5 linked regions of the Ovis aries genome follow. The protein of the gene in region 3 purifies or fractionates together with the protein of the main gene of each other region. This does not show direct contact. Links are inferred from orthologs where the notes say so. Each region holds a gene or a part of one and is shown on either strand. Other genes may lie near its edges.

Region 1 (4,225 bases), on a different chromosome or scaffold from region 3:
TTTCCTTCTCTAAGCTGGAAATTCCTCATCTCGATAGCCACGTATAAAGGTCATCCAATGTTCCAGTGTATCACTTTTTAGCTTCAGATGAGCCCAGTTTTCCTACCACTCAGGCAGAAAGTGAAAGTTGCTAGCACAGTGCCTCAGAAATTAAGAAGGACTGGTGGAACTCTTCTGCTGTAGTCCTGAATGGCTTCTGTCAAAATGGCCAAGTTCATGAAACCTGGGAGGTGGTGATGCCCCTGGCCAGTCATCATGAACACCTATGATCTTGCTACCTTGCTAGCAAGGTACAAAGTGAAAGCTACCATGGGCAAGAAGAAAACTGCCAGGAGGTCAGAGAGCAAGTCTTTTGTGAAAGTTTGTAACTTGAAGTATACCACTTCAAGCCCACAAGGTACTCTGTAGGTATCCCCTTGGAAAAAACTGTGGCCAAGGAGAATGTCTTCAGATACCCTGCTCTTAAATGTGCATCCCAACAAGAGGTCAAGGTCAAGTTTGAGGAAAGATACAAAACCAGCAAGAACAGATGGTTCTTCTAGAAGCTGTGGTTTTAGATCTGTTTTGTTTCAGTTATTAAAAATACCCAAAAATCTGAGGGGAAAAAAAAAAAAAGAACCGTGAAGAATTCTAAATACCTGTGTATTTCCTCCACTGACATACAGCACAGTTGGGTTGGTGGCTCCAGTGATGAGGCGGCCCATCTCAATGTGACCTATACAGTGGTTAACACCCAGCAATGGCTTATTCCATAACTGGGCCACAGTACGGGCCACAACAGCCACAGAAACCAGTGGGGCACCCATGCCAGGACCTATGGGGACAGAATAGGGCTTAGAATCCTATAGAGATTGGGAAAAACAGAGTTGAGGGAAGCGGGGGATGTGAAGGTACAGCGGATGTAGTGGTGGTTTCAAAGGTGAGGTGCAGACTATTTTGACCTAGCTGGGTTCCAGGTATATTCTTCCACTGCTGTGCACACTTCTAGCTATACCTTTGGTGTATGCGATGCAATCAATATCCTCAGAGGTTAATCCAGCCTCTGTTAGTGCCTCCTGCAGCAGGTCCAGGATAACAGCTCGGTGGTGCCTAGCAGTATCACCTGGAAGGAATCCTAGGAGACGGACACAAGTCAGAGATCCTAAGAATTTTCCTACAGAAAGGCACCTAGAAGTCAAAACAGACATTTCAGTAGGGTAGGAAGAGTCCCCTCCCTTTTCCTCAAACATCCTGTCTTCAGATATAGTCTTTTCAGCCTGTTCAGCTAAGCTAAACAGCTCTGAGCAATGCCCTTCTTCATAACTAACTCCTATTCAGGACTCAATGATACCTATCTCATACTTTTTGGTGATGCCCTGTGACTCTACAAACACTGTGCATGGTAACATCATTTATATTAACATACTATATGTAACATGTAACAATTACAGCATTATAGTTAATCGGTACTTTTCCCAGCTTAACCATGAGCATCTCAAAGCACTGCCTGTTTTATCTTCACATTCTTGGTGCCAATGAAGGCAATGGCACCCCACTGCAGTACTCTTGCCTGGAAAATCCTCCGGACGGAGGAGCCTGGTAGGCTGCAGTCCATGGGGTCACTAAGAGTCGGATACGACTGAGCGACTTCACTTTCGCTTTTCACTTTCATGCATTGGAGAAGGAAATGGCAACCCACTCCAGTGTTCTTGCCTGCAGAATCCCAGGGACGGGGGGGTGGGCTGCCGTCTATGGGGTCACGCAGAGTCGGACACGACTGAAGCGACTTTGCAGCTTGGTGCCAAATGCCGAGAAGCTTGAGTGCTAAACATATATATCCATTTCTAACGAGTAACCTGTTACAACATCACCTGTTCAGGGAGGCTTTTCAGGTATACACAAGCCTGCTGCCCTCTCCTATGGAAGGAGGTGTTTGGGGGAAAGGTAGCAAAGACAACAGAGCTTAGAAATAACATTTACGGAAAGTTGTCAGTGTATCCGATACTTTAACTCTCCAGACCAAATGACGCAGGTAATATCATTCCCATTTTAAGAACAAAGTACAGAAGTCCAAAAACAACTACCGAATATTCTAAGGGCAGCCGATAATTAGCACATAAAAGGTGGTCAGTATAGGCTGAACAACTCAGAAGATCCAGTTTCAAGTGCCTGTAACTCTTCTACCCATCAGCTTCGGGATAATGTGTGTGCGTGCTTAGTCTTGTCCAACTCATGGACTGTAATCCATTAGACTCCTCCGTCAATAGGATTCTCCAGGCAAGAATACTGGGGTGGGTTGCCATTCCGTTCCCCAGAGGATCTCGACCCACGGATCGAACTCAAGTCTCCTGTACTGCAGGCAGATTCTTTACCACTGAGCCAACTGGGAAGCCCTTTTACCGTTACATAATCTCAGAAACTAGGATCAAAAATTATGAGACACAATGCGCACTCTTCACCAACGTTTAGAAAGACGGCAGGGGATGCTGTGCGGAAAATTGCGCCACGAGTTACAAATCCGCAAATCCTCACCTGTGCCGGGAGGCGTGACGTAAGTCCGCCGCGGATTCGCCAGTACTTTGCCATCCCGTACCACTCCCACGCCAATCTTGTTGGCGCTGCCTTCCAAACCCAGCACCGCCGGCATGGCTCCGAGCTAGCACTGGAGCCAAGGAGCCCTCACCAGTCCGCGCTGGGACGCAGACTCCGGGTCGCAGAGTAGGAGGATGAGCCAGTGGCTGCTAAGCAGCCGCGCCAACCAGAACAACAACTACCAAAATATTCCCGTACGTAGCGCGCCAGCGCCGGTCCCAATCTCTGTCGTTACGACGACCCATCAAGACCCCTTCGAGGGCCTGTTCGCTTAACTGCCGGGAACGCTGAGCCGGCGTCTGCTCCTTAAATTCCTATCCGTTCCTCTGCTTCTCTCCGATAGTCCAGCCCAGCCTTTTCCACTGATTTTGTTCTCTCTTACACAGCTTTGGGATCTCTAGTCAGGGTGGCAGAAAGAGTTGTGAATCCGGCATATTGATAAACAGTCCAAGAATGGAGGGTGGGGCCTTCAGTGTCCCGGAGTCCAGAAGGGCGGGAAGCTTTTGAGTCACGTGGTACAACTAGACCAATGACCCGTATTCCTCCACCCCTGGATGAGCATCTCAAATCACGTGACCACGCCAGTTACCCACGTGGGGCACGGCGTGCTCCATTCTTTGTGCTGGGTTAAGGAGGAGGCAGACAGGGGCCGAAGCAGGTCAGCTGAAGGGTTTGTGTTGTTTTGCCCATCTTAGCAGCTTCTCTGGACGTCTGATTCGCAAGGCTAGGTCGGGACTCTCAATTAAGTCCCTCATTTGGCCGGAGGGCGGATCTCGCGAGAAGTGTATAAGACACGATGAAATGATCTAGTCTGAGGGGTGAGGGGCTGAAAGGCTGATGGTGCACGGAGGCGGGGAAAGAATTCAGAGATAATACAGTTTCAAAGGCGGTACTTGGTACGTGGGCGTTGAGGGTGGAGTCTTCTGCTCTAGCTGGTTTCACGACTTCTTTGCACTTGTAGGCAACGCGATCAAAATACTGCTTCAGTGGGCGAAGTGGAACTGGTGCAGAAGGGCCTACATTACAGTGATGCCGAAACGTGGGAAAAAGGGAGCGGTGGTCGAAGACGCGGAAGAGCCCAAGACTGGTAAGAGAATGAAATGGGCCCCTCTCCCCAGAGGCGGCGATGGGGATGTCTATAATTACCTAGTTGAACGGGAAGTACGGACCGTTGAACGGAAAGTCCAGACCGACACCGACAGTATTCTCATTTATGAAGAAGTCGCGGCAGCTGCAGGCTCTTAGTGGGTCTATAGTTTACTCTGGATCAAAGTTGGATACCGCCAACTTATATCCCATTATGTATTACTTATTTTATAGAGCCAGAGGCGAAGAAGAGTAAGGCAGGAGCGAAAAAGAACGAAAAAGAGGCAGTAGGAGAGGGCGCAGTTCTGTATGAAGACCCCCCAGATCAGAAAACCTCACCCAGTGGCAAATCAGCCACACTCAAGATCTGCTCGTGGAATGTGGATGGGCTTCGAGCCTGGATTAAGAAGAAAGGTTTAGATGTGAGTGGAATTAAGGGGGTGCAGAGGCTGATCTTAGGGTTTAATCATCTTTTTCCATCTTAGTCCCTAGCACGATAGTTTTCTTGTGGGAAAGGTACTAGGTTTTCACCCGAAAAACCTTGTTATTTTTCAAATGCCATTTCAAC
Region 2 (3,513 bases), on a different chromosome or scaffold from region 3:
ATTCCTGGTAGAGTGCCAACTATAAAGTATACATGGATTTTCGAGTGTATAGAGGGTCAGTGACTCTAATGCTTATATTGTTCAAGGGTCAACTGTATTTGCTTTATCAAAGTTAATCAGAAATTACTCTTAACATGCAATTGAAATACAATATGGCTTATAAAGTTAGTTGCTACAAATAAACAAATTTGCTTTATACTACTGAAATTACAGATCAAAACTTACAGTGATAATATCTGCGTGGGCTCATTTCCTTGTTGTCTAAAATCCCATATTTTTAACTGTCCAATTGAATTTACTGTAAGAATCTCAGGAGTTCGAAGGAAGGTTACAGCATGGAGTGTACTGCTATCTGCATTGTCTGTAAATTAAGAAAACTGCAGTGTATGTTAACAGGGCACCACTTTTCCATGAATACCTTAAACAGTGTTCCCTCTGTTGACTGAAAAATTACAAGTGAAACTTTAAATAAGTCACAATTTTATTTCTATGGAAAAATATAGGAACATATGTTAAAATGGACTCTCCTTTGATAGAAAAATTATATTACTCACAGGACATCTGAACTGTTTTCCAACTAGAGGACTAAGTTTTCATATATTTCTCTATTTCCACTTAAGAGTACTACATTTCTGAGACAGCTGTTCAAGTTTCTTTATAATCCAATTTTATCTCCCACCACTGCTTCACCCTAGACAACCTAGACATCATGTTAAAAAGCAGACATTATTTGCTAGCAAAGGTCCATCCAGTCAAAGATACGGTTTTTCCACTAGTCATGTATGGATGTCAAAGTTGGACTTTAAAGAAAGCTTAGTGCCAAAGAATTGATGGTTTTGAATTGTGGTGTTGGAGAACACTCTTGAGAGTCCCTTGGACTGCAAGGAGATCAAACCAGTCCATCCTAAAGCAGATCAGTCCTGAATATTCTTTAGAAGGACTGATGCTCAAGCTGAAACTCCAATCCTTTGGCCACCTGATGTGAAGAACTGACTCACTGGAAAAGACTCTGATGCTGGCAAAGATTGAAGGCAGGAGAAGGGGACGACAGAGGATGAGATGGTTGGATGGCATCCCTGACTCAATGGATATGAGCTTGAGCAAGCTCCAGGAGTTGGTGATGGACAGGGCTGCAGTCCATGGGGTCGCAAAGAGCAACTGAACTCAAGTGCTTCATCCAGAACCTCCATTCTGTTGGGCCAAACACCACAGCTTCCTACAGAGCTCAATCTGACCCTGTATTATTCTGCTGACTCATCTCAAATTGATTCATCTTTATCCTTATCAGCTCTCTTTTCTGCCATGAAGTTCTTCCTGTTTGCCTTAATGGTCCTTCTGCTTTTTCTAGTGTGTCTAAGCTTATACATCTTTATTTAGTATATACTTAAAGACTTTTATTTTGTGACCCTTCTCCAAACTGTCACCAGGCCAGCAGTCTTTCAAAGCTAAACAAATGGTATTTCTCAGAACTAAAAATGATAATAATAATACAAAAAACTGATTCATGGGCTCAATCCATAGAAGTTCTAATTCAAGAGGTCTAGGGTGATGGGCTGTTAAAAATCTCCTCGGGCAAGTCTGTGCAAAATATGGTTGAGAACTACTACACTAGTCAGACATGATTTAGCAACTAAACCACTACCACTGCACTAAATAATCCTTCTAAAACACGATGTGGGTACATTACCCCTTTGCTCAAAAACTTTCAATGTCTCCTTAGCTGTCTACCTAAAAAAAGGTATTATCTTTCACAACCTGACTGCAATCTACCTTTCTTGTTTCATCTCTCAATTCTCCTACACAAATATCTAAAGTCAGGTCAAACTACACTTTCTGTCATTCTCTGACTGGCCTTACCCCGCCTCTATGCTATTCCCTTTATCTGGCGTGCCACTTCTCAGTATTATTTATGGTCTAGAATCTAGATTAAATGAATTGCCCTGCCCCTCAATTCTTTATCCAGTAATTCCTTCCAACCATCCTCCCCACAAATTTCTCTTTCTTCTAGTCAGTCCTTCATACAGGCCTTATCAACATACTATCTTGATAAAGGGATCCTGCTTTGTATATTTCTAAATCCCTCAAACATTTAACCCCTGGCACTGCACACAGGAGGTGCTGAATTACTATAAGATAGACCAAAGAAAGATGATTTTTCTTACCTATAGTTCTTACAGCTTCCTTGTGATCAGCTCTGAAGAGATTTATCCGACCATCTTCTCCAACTGTGACAATTTCTGGGTTGTTGCACACAACACCTGTGCATGGTGCATTGCTACAGGAAGGACTGCCTGGACCCGTGTGGTAGTGAGCTGCTGTCCACTGCTGGCTGACTGACAGAGTCTAGGTGTCAGAAATGAGGCTATGATTAATTAAAGCAAAGCTCCAAATAATTAGCACTTTCCCTAACTACACTATTATTTTAAAACTGTGTTTCATACCTTTCTAGAAAAATAGTACTCTTTTCGCTTTGTATTTCAAAGTATTAAGGTCTAGGAAATACTTCCATTAAAGCTCTGTATTCACCAGATCAGATTCCAAAGAAACCCTGTTTAATAATATTCCAAACTTATCTCAAACTAAAGAAACAGTTTTTAAGCATCAGGTAATTATGTGTTCAAAGACAACTCTAAATTCTTAAGGGAACTGATCTACATTGAAGAGATAAATCTCTGCAGGGCTTTCCAGATGATTCTGTAAGAATAACATTTAACTAGATCTGGGTCTTATACTTACTAGGCATGTCTATTAGTAAGATGACCTTTATCAATATCCAAATCTAAATAAGCATTCTCTTCCAGCAACTTAAAACTGTTAACTTCAAGTGGGCCTATTTTAAAGGACTGCCCTTAAACTATGCTCTGAAAGTCAGCACTCTTAGCCTTTGACATATAAGAAAAGCATAGAAAAAGTATCAAGCCTTCATATAGTGTATCTTTCCTTCTAATTACAACCTCGGTTCTGTTCACAGAAGTAGAGTAGCTGTTCCTGCTCCCTCTCATGATGTCTGAGCTAGAAAGTGCTCTTTCTCTCTTCAGAAAACCAGAGGAGGATCTTAACAGAAAGTTACAGGAAAATCACTTGCCAGAATACCATACTGTTACATGGAACCTAAGAAAATTGAAGAGTTACCCAATTTCAATGAAAGTTCACACAGAAATGGTTCTAGAATTAGTCAACTAAAAGATGGGTAATGCAATGACATTTTCCCCTCCTTTTTATAGTTTTTGAGACAATAAAACTTTATAATTTGTCATTATTAAGTATAGCCTTCTTTAAGCCTTCCTAAAAATAATTAAAATGCAAACTGAGTTTTCAAACAAAAATTCTTTACCTGGTTATTTGGATGGTGGAGGAAAATTGTCACACATCCTGTCGATGAAGCAGCTACAATTCTTTCCTGGTCCAAAAACTAAACAGAAAATTCCTGCATGTTATAAATTCATAAATATCAGCAGGGAAGAAGCCCATTTATCTAACTCAATTAGCAGTGTAACAATTTTAAAATGCAAA
Region 3 (4,126 bases):
CTTTGGGAAGATTTTTCAGTCTCCAGAGTGGATTCAATATAATCTCGAACAGTCACTGAGCCTTCGATTTCTTCCATAAATAAGCAGTTGGAAGCATAGTCCACAAAAAAGACAACTGGGGCACATATTCCTGTAACCAAGATATAAGGGGTCATTGAATTAGATACCTTTTTTTTCTTAATAGTAAGCTTAATTTTCTAGCTCAGTCAGAAAAATTTTCCAGTGTGTATCTGCATATTTTGGGAAAAAGATTTAGGAATGCTGCAGAATGGTACAGCTTTTCTTCTCTGGAAGTTTCTCCTGCCAGACTATGCTTAGACCACCACAGCAAGGTCAGCACAGCCAAAGCTCCCTCCTCCCTTCTACCCACTGTGATTGAACTTCATTTGTCATATTTGGGCTTCCCTGGTAGCTCAGCTGATAAAGAATCCACCTGCAATGCAGGACACCCCAGTTCAATTCCTGGGTCCAGAGGAGAAGGGATAGGCTACCCACTCAAGTGTTCTTGGGTTTCCCTGGTGACTCAGCTGGTAACAAACCCGCTGGCAACATGGGAGACCTGGTTTTGATCCCTGGGCTGGGAAGATCCCTTGGAGAAGGGAACAGGCTACCCACTCCAGTATTTTGGCCTGAAGAATTCCATGGACTACAGTTCATGGGGTCGCAAAGAGTCAGACACAATTGAGCGACTTTCACTTTCCCTGTCATACTTCTTCCCTAAAATACAAATCAAAGTAAACAGTCAGAAGGGTAAGCACCATTAGTTATATGTTCAAACATATGAAAGCAGTTTCCTGACAGGGACAGAAGCAGGAGAGCAAGCAGCATGCTGGCTTAGAGATGCACCTTTACAGGGAGGAAAGAGAGTGAAGTTGCTCAGTCGTGTCCAACTCTTTGTGACCCCATGGACTGTAGCCTACCAGGCTTCTCCGTCCATGGGATTCTCCAGGCAAGAATACTGGAGTGGGTTACCATTTCCTTCTCCAGGGGATCTTCGCGACCCAGGGATCGAACCAGGGACTCCCTCCTTGGAGGCAGACGCTTTAACCTCTGAGCCACCAGGAATACAGAGAGGAAGGACAAGTTCAAATCCCAGCTTCCTTCCTTTAACTGTGTATCTTTAAAGTCACATGTATTTCTCTAAGCCTCCATTTCTGCTTCTATAACATGAGATCAGTACTACCAATAATCCAATAACTTCACTGAATTTGAAGATTCAATGACTCTTTACTGAATGTCAATCACACTCAAGACACTTCAAGATACTAGAGACAAATGTGTAGAAATACAGCAGGAAACAAAACAACCGGGATCCCTGATTAAGAGAACTCAGCTGCTGGAAAGGGTGAAAATAGGAAATACGAATGAATGTGTAACTTTGCAAATCCAAGCAAGGGCAGAGACAGTGTGCTTGTTGGCACCTGAATTTCTTCCAGATCTCCCAGCACCTAACAATGTCTTGGTGTACAGTAGATGCCTAAAAAATTACCAATGAAAGAAACAAAGGTGAAAGTGTAAAAGTGAAATGCCAGTGTTTCTGAGTCAAAGGGATAGGGGGCGAAAGCCTTACTAACTGTGTAACTTTGAGGAAGTTACTTCCCCCCTCTGAACTTTGTTTCTCAACAGAGGCAAAGGTTTACCGTCATGGTGCAAAATAGTGTTTAGTCAAAGCTATGGTTTTTCCAGTAGTCGTGTACGGATGTGAGAGCTGGACTATAAAGAAAGCTAAGCGCCAAAGAATTGATGCTTTTGAACTGTGGTGTTGGAGAAGACTCTTGGATCCGGAGATCCAACCAGTCCATCTTAAAGGAAATCAGTCCTGAATATTCACTGGAAGGACTGATGCTGAAGCTGAAACTCCAACACTTTGGCCACCTGATGTGAAGAACTGACTCATTTGAAGACGCTGATACTGGGAAAGACTGAAGGCAGGAGGAGAAGGGGACAACAGAGAAAGAGGTGGTTGGAAGGCATCACGGATTCGATGGACATGAGTTTGAGCAAGCTCCGGGAGTTGGTGATGGACAGGGAAGCCTGGCGTGCTGCAGTCCATGGAGTCGCAGAGACAGGACTGAACTGAACTAGACTGTGTGAACCCAGAGACCCTGGCTCCTGGGCAAGTACTTGTAACTACATCTGCTTCTTGAAAGTAACTAACAGCGATCGAAAGTTGGGATTGTACAGATGGGGAAACTGAGGCTCGGGGCAGTTAAAAGACACGTTCAACGTTGAGTAAAGGTGGCAGAGTCGGAACTGAACCAGGCGCCAAGAGCTCCGGGACAAATGCTCGTCGCTACAACGTCAAGTGGCTTCTTAAGAGTTAATGAAAGGAAAAGGATGAAAGGATGACATTTCTTAATGGAAAGCCGTGAAGAAGGTACAAACGGAGAAACTGAGTCAAATCTCGCTCGCCCCCAACCCCGCAGCGCAGGGGAGCCCCTCACCTGCGTCGCCCGAGCCCCGGAGCCTCGGGGGTCCCCCGCGTCCCCAAGCTGGGCCGTCTTACCTGCGCGGCGACAGCGGAGCAACGCCCGGGCCTCCTGCACCGTCCGCCGCCGGCTGAGCCGCGCTTCCAGCGTCGGGTGCCGGTAGCCTTTGGGGAAGCGGTGCTTCACCACGGCCGCGCGACCCTGAAAGCGGCCGCGGAACACGCGCGCCTCGGCGCCCTGCTTCACCAGCTCCAGGCCGCTCAGGAAGCGGCTGCTCCGCTCCCGGGCTGCGGCCAGCGCTTCGGCCGCGGGCGCCAGCTCCTCGTTCAGCTTAGCGGCAGCAGCGCCGGCCGCCGCCATGTTCGCGTTTCCGCGTAGCCGCTCGGAGCCCTTCGGCCGCCTCCGGAAACTGTCGGGGCTGCTTCGGCTCGCTCCGAAAGTACTCGGACCTCCTCGGCCTCTCTAATGCCGACCCTTTTGCCTCGTGGAAGTGGTTTCTCCTCTCTTCGGCTCTTTTCTAAGCCTCCTGGTCCCGCCACTCGGCTCCTCGGCTATTTCCGTAAACCCTCGGCTGCTCTCGGTGAGCTCTTTCCACTCCTCGGCTCTTTCCGGAAACCCTTCGTGACTCTTGCGGTTGGCTTTGGTGGCGCTGTCTCTCAGCTCTTCGGCTATTTCCGGAAAGCTTCGGCGTCTCCCTGAAAAAACGTCTCTTGGAATCTGCTCTCAGGAATCTGTCTGGATCCTGGGAAGTTGCACTTCACAGTCCCTGCGTTTCATTCATACACAGGGAAGGTAACCTTTTCAAACATCAGATCCTTTGTTTTGTACTAATGTGGTTTCCAGCACCCTTCATCAGTTCAGCCTACTTGAAGCCCCTATAGAACCAATTCTATTTGGTTTGGAAAACCCAATTTCCCAAGTTCGTAGTTTCATTATCATAATTCTTAGTGTCCATATGGTCATCTCCATGGTTACCAAATCTGTCTGAACTGCTCTGTATGGTTGTTAGCATAACTGAGGCCATCTTGGGTCTGTACAGTTCCTTTTGTCCTGCTCACCCTACCTATGGCTGTTCTGTGTAGTAAATAAATATCTTCTCTGTCATCAGTGATTTTTAGGTCCAGGTGGCCTCTATGCTTTGTTAGCCTCCAAACGATGAAGACCTTTGCTGACGTACTCTTGGTTCCTGCAAAAACTAGTTACCCATTCATAACTTGACTTAGGAATGCACTTCCTGTTTCCAAGGATGTACCCCTAAACCCTAGGTTAACTATAAAATTGTCCCAATGGCCTCTTGAAGGTTCAAAGTGCAGCTGCAAATGCTTCTGGATCTCTGTCCACTTGAATCTACCCTGTAAGTTATCTTATAATAAACTTTTCTGTTGATTATATGGAGCTGCCTGCCTTGTTTTCCATTCTCAAGATACCTTTTCAGTTTGGTGGGCACTTTTTGTTTCCTCCAATTTCCAACACCCTCTTTTGGAAAAATCCATTGTGCAAACATATTTAAAAGTCCCAGGCTTGCTATAGTCAGACTGGTTCTGACTTTTACCATAGGAAATCTAGTTTAAAATCTTTCAGTGAAAAACAAACAAACAAACAAAAAAATAAAATAAAATCTTTCAGTGGCTCCCTGTTGTGCTTCAGACAAAGACCCATGAGGTCCTGCATGGGGCCCTATGTCCCTCTTGCAGATT
Region 4 (3,000 bases), on a different chromosome or scaffold from region 3:
ACTGCAGGCAGATTCTTTACCATCTGATCCACCAGGGAAGCCCCAGTGGTAGAGAATCCACCTGCCAATGCAGGAGACTTGGAAGCTCTGATCCATGAAGATCCCCCATGCCTGGGAACCACTAAGCCAAGTACCACAACTACTGAGACTGTGCTCTAGAGCCCACGCGCCCTACAGCCTGAGCTCTGCCAACAAGAGAAGGCACTGCAATAAGCCCGCTTGCTGCAACTAGACAAAAACCCTCACAGGAAGGAAGACCCAGCACAGCCAAAAACAATTAAATTATATGTGAAATATATATATCAAGTTCAGGGAGATAGGGTGGCCACCGGTGGAGACTAGCAATGAAGGGGGAGAGGGTAGGCTGATTCAGGATGGATTTCGAGGGGTGATCCAACAGGCTTTGATAACCTACTTCACCTTTATGCCCTTCCTTCTGATTACAAAGGAGGAAAACAGAAAACTAACAGGGCTATCACCATCAGAAATTTCATGTCACTTTAAAAACTTATTTTTGATTAAAAATGCCGTATAAGGTTACTGTCAAAAACTTGCAGAACAGAAAAGGGAAGTTAAAATCGAGTCATACAGTTTGTGAAAGGCCCGAGCTGTGGGAAAGAAAGAGTTAGTCGCTCAGTCGTGGCCGACTCTGTGGTTTAGTCAGTAAGTCGTGTCCAACTCTTGCGACCTCACGGACTGTAGCCCCCAGGCTCCTCTGTCCATGGGGTTCTCCAGGCAGGAATACTGGAGTGTGTTGCTATTTCCTTCTCCAGGGGATCTTCCTGACCCAGGGATCAAACCCGGATCTCTTGCATGGCAGGTAGATTCTTTACCCACTGAGCTACAAGGGAAGCCCCGAACTGAGGAAGGGAGATTCATTTCTCTGCGGCCAACGGAGATTCCCCTCGGCCGGCCGGCTCCACCAGACCTGTTTGCGCAAGCGCGCGGGGCGGGGTCGGCGCGCGGGGCGGGGTCGGCGCGCGGGGCGGGGTCGGCGCGCGGGGCGGGGTCGGCGCGCGGGGCGGGGTCGGCGCGCGGGGCGGGGTCGGCGCGCGGGGCGGGGTCGGCGCGCGGGGCGGGGTCGGCGCGCGGGGCGGGGTCGGCGCGCGGGGCGGGGTCGGCGCGCGGGGCGGGGTCGGCGCGCGGGGCGGGGGCGGCGCGCGGGGCGGGGGCGGCGCGCGGGGCGGGGGCGGCGCGCGGGGCGGGGGCGGCGCGCGGGGCGGGGGCGGCGCGCGGGGCGGGGGCGGCGCTTCAGGAAGAAGCAGCAGTTTTTAAGCTGCTCGCGTAGCGGGTGGGCGACGGAGAGTCCTGGAGCCAGTGGGTGGGGTTGGAGGCGGAGCACGGCAGCCATGCAGGAGACAGGTGGGGACGTAGGCGCAGGCATCCTGGCGGGTGGCGCCGAAAGCCAGGGCCGGCGGGGGTTCGGGGGTGGCCGGGGCAGCCCCGGCAGCGCGGGTGCTGCTTCCGCTGCAGACCACGGAGCTCCGGGTGTCGCGCCGGCCCAGCACTCTTCCCAAAAGCCGGGAAGCCGACCATGCGTATTGTATCCTACTCGAGGGGCAGTGCGGATTGGGCTGGGGGATGCCTGCGGTGGGAGGTGGGACAAACGGACCGGCGGGTCAGGGGCTGCTGGGGGGTGGAATGGCCAGGGCGCCTGGGGCGGGTAGAGAATAGAGAGCTGAAGGGAGACTGGAAGCTGGGATGGGCCTGGGTGGCGTGGGTCGGGGGGAGAAATGGGATCTCGGGGCAGTGGGGTGGCTGGGCTGGATTAGGGCTACGAGCGGCCCGGAGGGGCTGGAAGCGGTCCTGAGACAGGACCCAGAGCTCCAAATCCTTGTGGGTGGTACCTTAACCGCATCTCCATCAGCACCCTAAGCGTGCCTTTCCCGTCCGCGTTGGAGGCAGAGATTGCCCATGGGTCACTGGCCCCAGATACCGAACCTCACCGTGGGGCGGTTGGGAAGGAGCTCACAGTGAGCGGCAATGTCCTGGCTGTGTAAGTTGGAAAAGGGGCTGGTTGGAAGTGGTAGCAGGTGACCAAGCTTGTCTCTCGCCGGGGGCGCTCTGTTTGGACATACTCAAGGGCTGTGTTTATGGAGGTGACGCAGTGCCCTTGATTCAACCCATCTCCACCTTGATTCTCTTTTTCTGTCATTTTCAGCTGCTGGAGAGCTGAAGATTGCCGCCTCCTTCGAATCTCCATTGTCAACTTTCTGGACCAGCTTTCTCTGGTGATGCGAACCATGCAGCGCTTTGGGCCCCCTGTTGCTCGCTAAGCCAGGGCTGGGGAAAGGGGGGTCTGATCTGGTGGCCCTTCCTAGACAGTGCATCCTTCCTAGGGCAGTGATTCCTGCACTAGTTGCCTATTATGGGGGCCTCATCTTTTGGCTATAATGGCCCTTGGGTGCTCAAGGTCCACTTGCATTGTTTGGTACTTAAATGTTTCTTAACTACTGAAAATAAAATTGACCTATGATGAGTTTATTTTCAACTGTAGCACCTTCAAAATTCTTGCATTTGTTCTTAGATGGGAGGGTTCTGATTCAGATAGTCAAGTAGTACAGTGTAAGTGAAGATAATCTAAGAAATGGAGGAGGATAGGTCCTGTCTCTCATTCAGTATTAGCTACTATCAATATTTTGGAGTATTTTTGAGTTTTATAGTTACATAGTAAATGTGTAATAATAATATTTGATATTTTGCAAGTTTAGCATTTTTCCTGGTATTTCTCATCTAACATGAACTTTTTTCTAAAAATTCTTCAAAATCATTATTGATTGTTTAAACTATTTTCAGTCTTTGCCATATTATAGGTAATGATTCCATGGAACACTTGTATATAGATCTTTGCATGAATGATTAAGATTACAAGAAGTAGAATTAATTAAATATTTAAAGCTCTCAATCTGAAGCATGTGAAATTACTGTCCATAAAATGCCCTCCCACCAGAATTCTGGTTTCCCCACATTAGTGTCACCATTGGGGGCTTCCCAGGTGGT
Region 5 (4,123 bases), on a different chromosome or scaffold from region 3:
CGACCAAAGGTTTTAAAATATCAGCCAACATTAAATACCTCTGAAGCCAGGTGTATTAAAAAAAAAAAAATCTAACCACTTTGCAGTGTAAACTCAACTGGTCATTGATAACAACTGGTATTGTGATCTCAAGCAACACCACGTAAAGACCCCATGTCTCTCTCCCCATCCTGCAATGTTCCACTCCACCTGCCTGGAAGATAACCTTCTTCCTATCAAGTACCATCTCTCATTAGTTTTCTTCTACCACCTTTCTCCATTTTTGAACCTAGAAACATAGAATGAGTCACCAAACACTACGTCACACCCCCTCCAGTCCTTGTTCCCACCATCTTCCGAATGCCATCTCTCCTCCCCTCCTTTCCTTTGCCAGTGCCACCAGCTGTTCGGGTTCCGGTCTATGCCCCTGGAGGGCCGACTGCAGAGAGACGTGGTACTTGCTTCCTCTCGCCAAAAAAAAAAACCAGCTAGCACCTGTCAAACTAAACTGCAGAGGAACCAGCTGTCCAGGAGTCCAGCCTACGCGGAGAGATTTTCAAACCCAGAGCTCTCTCCTTTAATTATTTGACTCTTCCGTTTAGTACCCAGCAAATACTCTGAGGATGGGAAAAGTATGGACAAAGATACTCAGGATGTGAAAGGTCACGGGGTTGGTTTGGTGAAAAGCGGCCGGGGCACAGAGAAGAGACGAGGAAGGAAGGAAAGAGCAGCTGCTCTGGGGCCAAAACCGTAGAAACGTCGGGGGCCTGACAGAGGAAAATCGAGAAAGGAGGGGCGTCCTGCTGGCCACAGGTTAGAAGGGGCTCAGAAGACTAAGTGTAAAAGGGCACCTGGGCCTGGGATGGGGAAGCCTACGACCAACAGCTGCGCTGGACCACCACAGGGGGCCGGCCGCGGCCGGCGGGAAGAGAGAGGGTAAGGCGGTGGGGAAAGGGAGGTTCAGCGGAGGCGAGGGCCGAGCCGCGCGCCCACCTGCGAGTAGGAGCACTTCTCCGAGTCACTGCCGCCCAGGACGGCGCAAGCCTCATTCTCCAGCTCCTCGTCCTCCTCCAGTACATCGACCAACGATACCACGGGCTCCAACTCCGACTGTCGCCCAGCTGGCTCCTCAGCTCCAGCCATCCTCAACTGTCACCAGGACCGCCGACCGGCCCCGGCGGAGGCGGGAAAAGCGTCCGCGAGGGGCGGGGCCGGAGGAGGCGGGGCCTCGGTGCCAGACACCAATCCCAAAGACAGGGAGCGAAGGAAGGGGGAGGAGCGACTTCCGACAAACGGAAGTCAGGCCTCTCCCTTCTCCGCGCCTGCGCCCGCGGCGGGCTGGTTTCCGTTTCCGGTGGCGACTCACTGTGGCGCGCTCCTGAAGCGTAGCGGTCGCTATGGAGCTGTTGGGCGAGTACGTCGGACTGGAAGGGCAGCGACAGCAGCTGCGGGTGCCTTGTGAGGCGCCGGGCGTCACCGACCCTTTCCAGAGCTTGTTGTCCGGTGTGGCTCAGATGAGGGAGCTGGTGACTGAGCTCTTCGGCTCTCAGGTACAGCCGGAAGCACAGGACCGGGGGACGGCGGCTCCCGACGAGGCCTTGGACGGTGAGCTTTGAGACGGTTCAGCGAGTGACAGGAGGGCGGGCAGGGGCGCCCGGAGAAATTTGGGCTGTACCTGGACTCGTTTAGCAGGACTGCTTTTGACGATTCTCTTTTCATTTATGTCACACAAAAAACGTACTGAACGCCTACGGCCCTGTGCCAGTCACTGGGCTGAACTCTGGAGAAAGAATGACGTGAATGCGACTCAGTTCCTGTTCTTGTGGAACTCTGTGGGAGGTTAGACAGACAAACATTCTTATTAAAGAGTAGAAGGAATGACCCTAGGCTTCTTTGTAACTATTGCAAACCTAGAGAACCCAAGAAGGCTTCAGAAAGAGCATGACTTCTAAGCTGGGCTTAGAAGGATGGAAAGGAATTTTCCCAGGCGTGAACTTACAAATATGTTTGGAAGACCGCCATCTATTACAGAATAGAAACAGGTTCTGAAGATTGGAATAGATTTCAGATGAACAAGGCTTCACTGTCAGGGACTCCTTTCATTTCCCAGTGTGGTAGGTGCAGTTTGAAAGCAGAAATGGAAATTTTAACTGTATTCTTAAGTCTTGTCTTGAATACCCTGAGCTGAAGAACCTAAGAACTAAATATTGGAATCAGGGCTTACTTCCCCTATTGTTGTTGTTGAGGTTCAGTCGCTCAGTTGTGTCCAACTCTGCAACTCCATGGACTGTAGCACACCAGGCTCCTCTGTCCTTCTCTGTCTCCCAGAGCTTGCTCAAATTCAGGTACATTTAAACTGCAGTGCCATCCAGCCATCTCATCCTTTGTCTCCCCCTTCTCCATCTGCCCTCAATCTTTCCTAGCATCAGTCTTTTCCAGTGAGTCAGCTCTTTGCCTCAGATGGCCAAATTATTGGAGCTTCAGCTTCAGCATCAGTCCACCCAATGAATATTCAGGGTTGATTTCCTTTAGGATTAACATTTCATCTCCTTGCCTTCCAAGGGACCCTCAAGAGTCTTCTCCAGTACCACAGTTCAAAAGCATCAATTCTTCAGCACTCAGCCTTCTTTATGGACCAACTCTCACATCTGTACATGACTACTGAAAAAACCATAGCTTTGACTATACAGACCTTTGTCGTCAGAGTGATGTCTCTGCTTTTAATACACTGTCTAGGTTTGTCATAGCTTTCCTTCCAAGGATCAAGTGTCTTTTAATTTCGTGGCTACAGTCACTGTCTGCAGTGATTTTGGAGCCCAAGAAAATAAAATCTGTCACTGCTTCCACTTTTTCCCCTTCTATTTGTCATGAAGTGATGGGACCGGGTGCCATCTTCTTTGTCTTTGAATGTTGAGTTTTAAGCCAGCTTCTTCACTCTCCTCTTTCAGCTTCATCAAGAGGTTCTTTAGTTGCTCTTCACTTTCTGCCATTAAGGTGGTATTATCTGTGTATCTGATGTTTTTGATACTTCTCCTGGCACTCTTGATTCCAGCTTGTGCTTCATCCAGCTTGGAATAAGCAGAGTGACAATATACAGCTTTGATGTACTCCTTTCCCAATTTTGAACAAGTTTGTTGTTTCCTGCCTGGTTCTAACTGTTGTTTCTTGACCTGCATACGGTTTGGGGATTGGAATAAAAACTGACCTTTTCCAGTCCTCTGGCCGCTGCTGAGTTTTCCAAATTTGCTGACATATCAAACAGCATCATCTTTTAAGATTCTAAATAGCTCAGCTGGAGTTCTATCACCTCCATTAGGTTTGTTCATAGTCCTAAGGTCCACTTGACTTCAGACTCCAGGATATCCAGCTCTAGGTGAGTGACCACACCATTGTGGTTATCCGTGTCATTAAGACTTCTTGTATAGTTCTTCTGTGTAGTCTTGCCACCTCTTAATTTCTTCTGCTTCTGTTAGGTCCTTACCATTTCTGTCCTTTTATCATGCCTGTCTTTGCATGAAATGTTCCCTTGGTGTCTCCAATTTTCTTGAAGAGATCTGTCTTTCCCATTCTATTATTTTCTGTTTCTTTGCATTGTTCATTAAGAAGGCCTTCTTATCTCTCCTTAATATTCTTTGGAACTCTGCATTCAGAAGGGTATATCTTTCTCTTTCTCCCTTGCTTTTCACCTCTCTTCTTTCCTCAGCTCTTTGTAAAGCCTCCTTGGACAACCAATTTACCTTCTTGCATTTCTTTTACTTTGGATTGGTTTTGGTCACTGCCTACTGCACAGTGTTACAAACCTCCATCCATAGTTCTTCAGGCACTCTGTCTGCAAATCTAATTCCCTGAATCTATTTGTCACCTCCACTGTATAATCATAAGGGATTTTATTTAGGTCATACTTGAATGGCCTAGTGATTTTCCCCTACTTTCTTCCATTTAAACATGAATTTTATAATAAGGAGTTCATGATATGAGCCACAGTCAGCTCCAGATCATGACTATGTGGAACTTCTCCATCTTAAGTTGCAAAGAACATAATCAGTCTGATTTCAGTATTGACCAGATAGTGATGTCCATGTGTAGAGGCGTCTCTTGGGTCATTGGAAAAAGGCGTTTGCTACGACCAGCGTGTTCTCTTGAC

The links.
Region 1: the proteins of TP53RK (region 3) and OSGEP purify together in Homo sapiens (affinity purification with mass spectrometry; 5 studies listed by BioGRID and IntAct, counting the BioPlex papers as one, with this or other methods). This does not show direct contact. The link is inferred for Ovis aries from reciprocal best matches to the Homo sapiens genes TP53RK and OSGEP.
Region 2: the proteins of TP53RK (region 3) and NUP43 purify together in Homo sapiens (affinity purification with mass spectrometry; 3 studies listed by BioGRID and IntAct, counting the BioPlex papers as one, with this or other methods). This does not show direct contact. The link is inferred for Ovis aries from reciprocal best matches to the Homo sapiens genes TP53RK and NUP43.
Region 4: the proteins of TP53RK (region 3) and LAGE3 purify together in Homo sapiens (affinity purification with mass spectrometry; 5 studies listed by BioGRID and IntAct, with this or other methods). This does not show direct contact. The link is inferred for Ovis aries from reciprocal best matches to the Homo sapiens genes TP53RK and LAGE3.
Region 5: the proteins of TP53RK (region 3) and GON7 purify together in Homo sapiens (affinity purification with mass spectrometry; 5 studies listed by BioGRID and IntAct, counting the BioPlex papers as one, with this or other methods). This does not show direct contact. The link is inferred for Ovis aries from reciprocal best matches to the Homo sapiens genes TP53RK and GON7.

Annotation. Positions count from the first base shown.
Region 1 is NC_056060.1:24,949,584-24,953,808, reverse strand, and holds the start of OSGEP (tRNA N6-adenosine threonylcarbamoyltransferase), read right to left. Parts: upstream 2,802-4,225; 5' UTR 2,627-2,801; coding exon 2,512-2,626; intron 1,115-2,511; coding exon 995-1,114; intron 815-994; coding exon 639-814; intron 1-638. Other genes in the region: APEX1 (DNA-(apurinic or apyrimidinic site) endonuclease), read left to right, coding at 3,601-3,658, 3,892-4,079. UniProt on the Homo sapiens protein: Component of the EKC/KEOPS complex that is required for the formation of a threonylcarbamoyl group on adenosine at position 37 (t(6)A37) in tRNAs that read codons beginning with adenine.
Region 2 is NC_056061.1:74,004,751-74,008,263, forward strand, and holds part of NUP43 (nucleoporin Nup43), read right to left. Parts: intron 3,413-3,513; coding exon 3,335-3,412; intron 2,344-3,334; coding exon 2,163-2,343; intron 362-2,162; coding exon 226-361; intron 1-225. UniProt on the Homo sapiens protein: Component of the Nup107-160 subcomplex of the nuclear pore complex (NPC). The Nup107-160 subcomplex is required for the assembly of a functional NPC.
Region 3 is NC_056066.1:75,355,041-75,359,166, forward strand, and holds the start of TP53RK (EKC/KEOPS complex subunit TP53RK), read right to left. Parts: upstream 2,810-4,126; 5' UTR 2,790-2,809; coding exon 2,507-2,789; intron 131-2,506; coding exon 1-130.
Region 4 is NC_056080.1:79,963,680-79,966,679, forward strand, and holds LAGE3 (EKC/KEOPS complex subunit LAGE3), read left to right. Parts: upstream 1-1,302; 5' UTR 1,303-1,349; coding exon 1,350-1,543; intron 1,544-1,867; coding exon 1,868-1,996; intron 1,997-2,161; coding exon 2,162-2,276; 3' UTR 2,277-2,496; downstream 2,497-3,000. UniProt on the Homo sapiens protein: Component of the EKC/KEOPS complex that is required for the formation of a threonylcarbamoyl group on adenosine at position 37 (t(6)A37) in tRNAs that read codons beginning with adenine.
Region 5 is NC_056071.1:55,648,938-55,653,060, reverse strand, and holds the start of GON7 (EKC/KEOPS complex subunit GON7), read left to right. Parts: upstream 1-1,319; 5' UTR 1,320-1,376; coding exon 1,377-1,584; intron 1,585-4,123. Other genes in the region: putative E3 ubiquitin-protein ligase UBR7, read right to left, coding at 973-1,122. UniProt on the Homo sapiens protein: Component of the EKC/KEOPS complex that is required for the formation of a threonylcarbamoyl group on adenosine at position 37 (t(6)A37) in tRNAs that read codons beginning with adenine.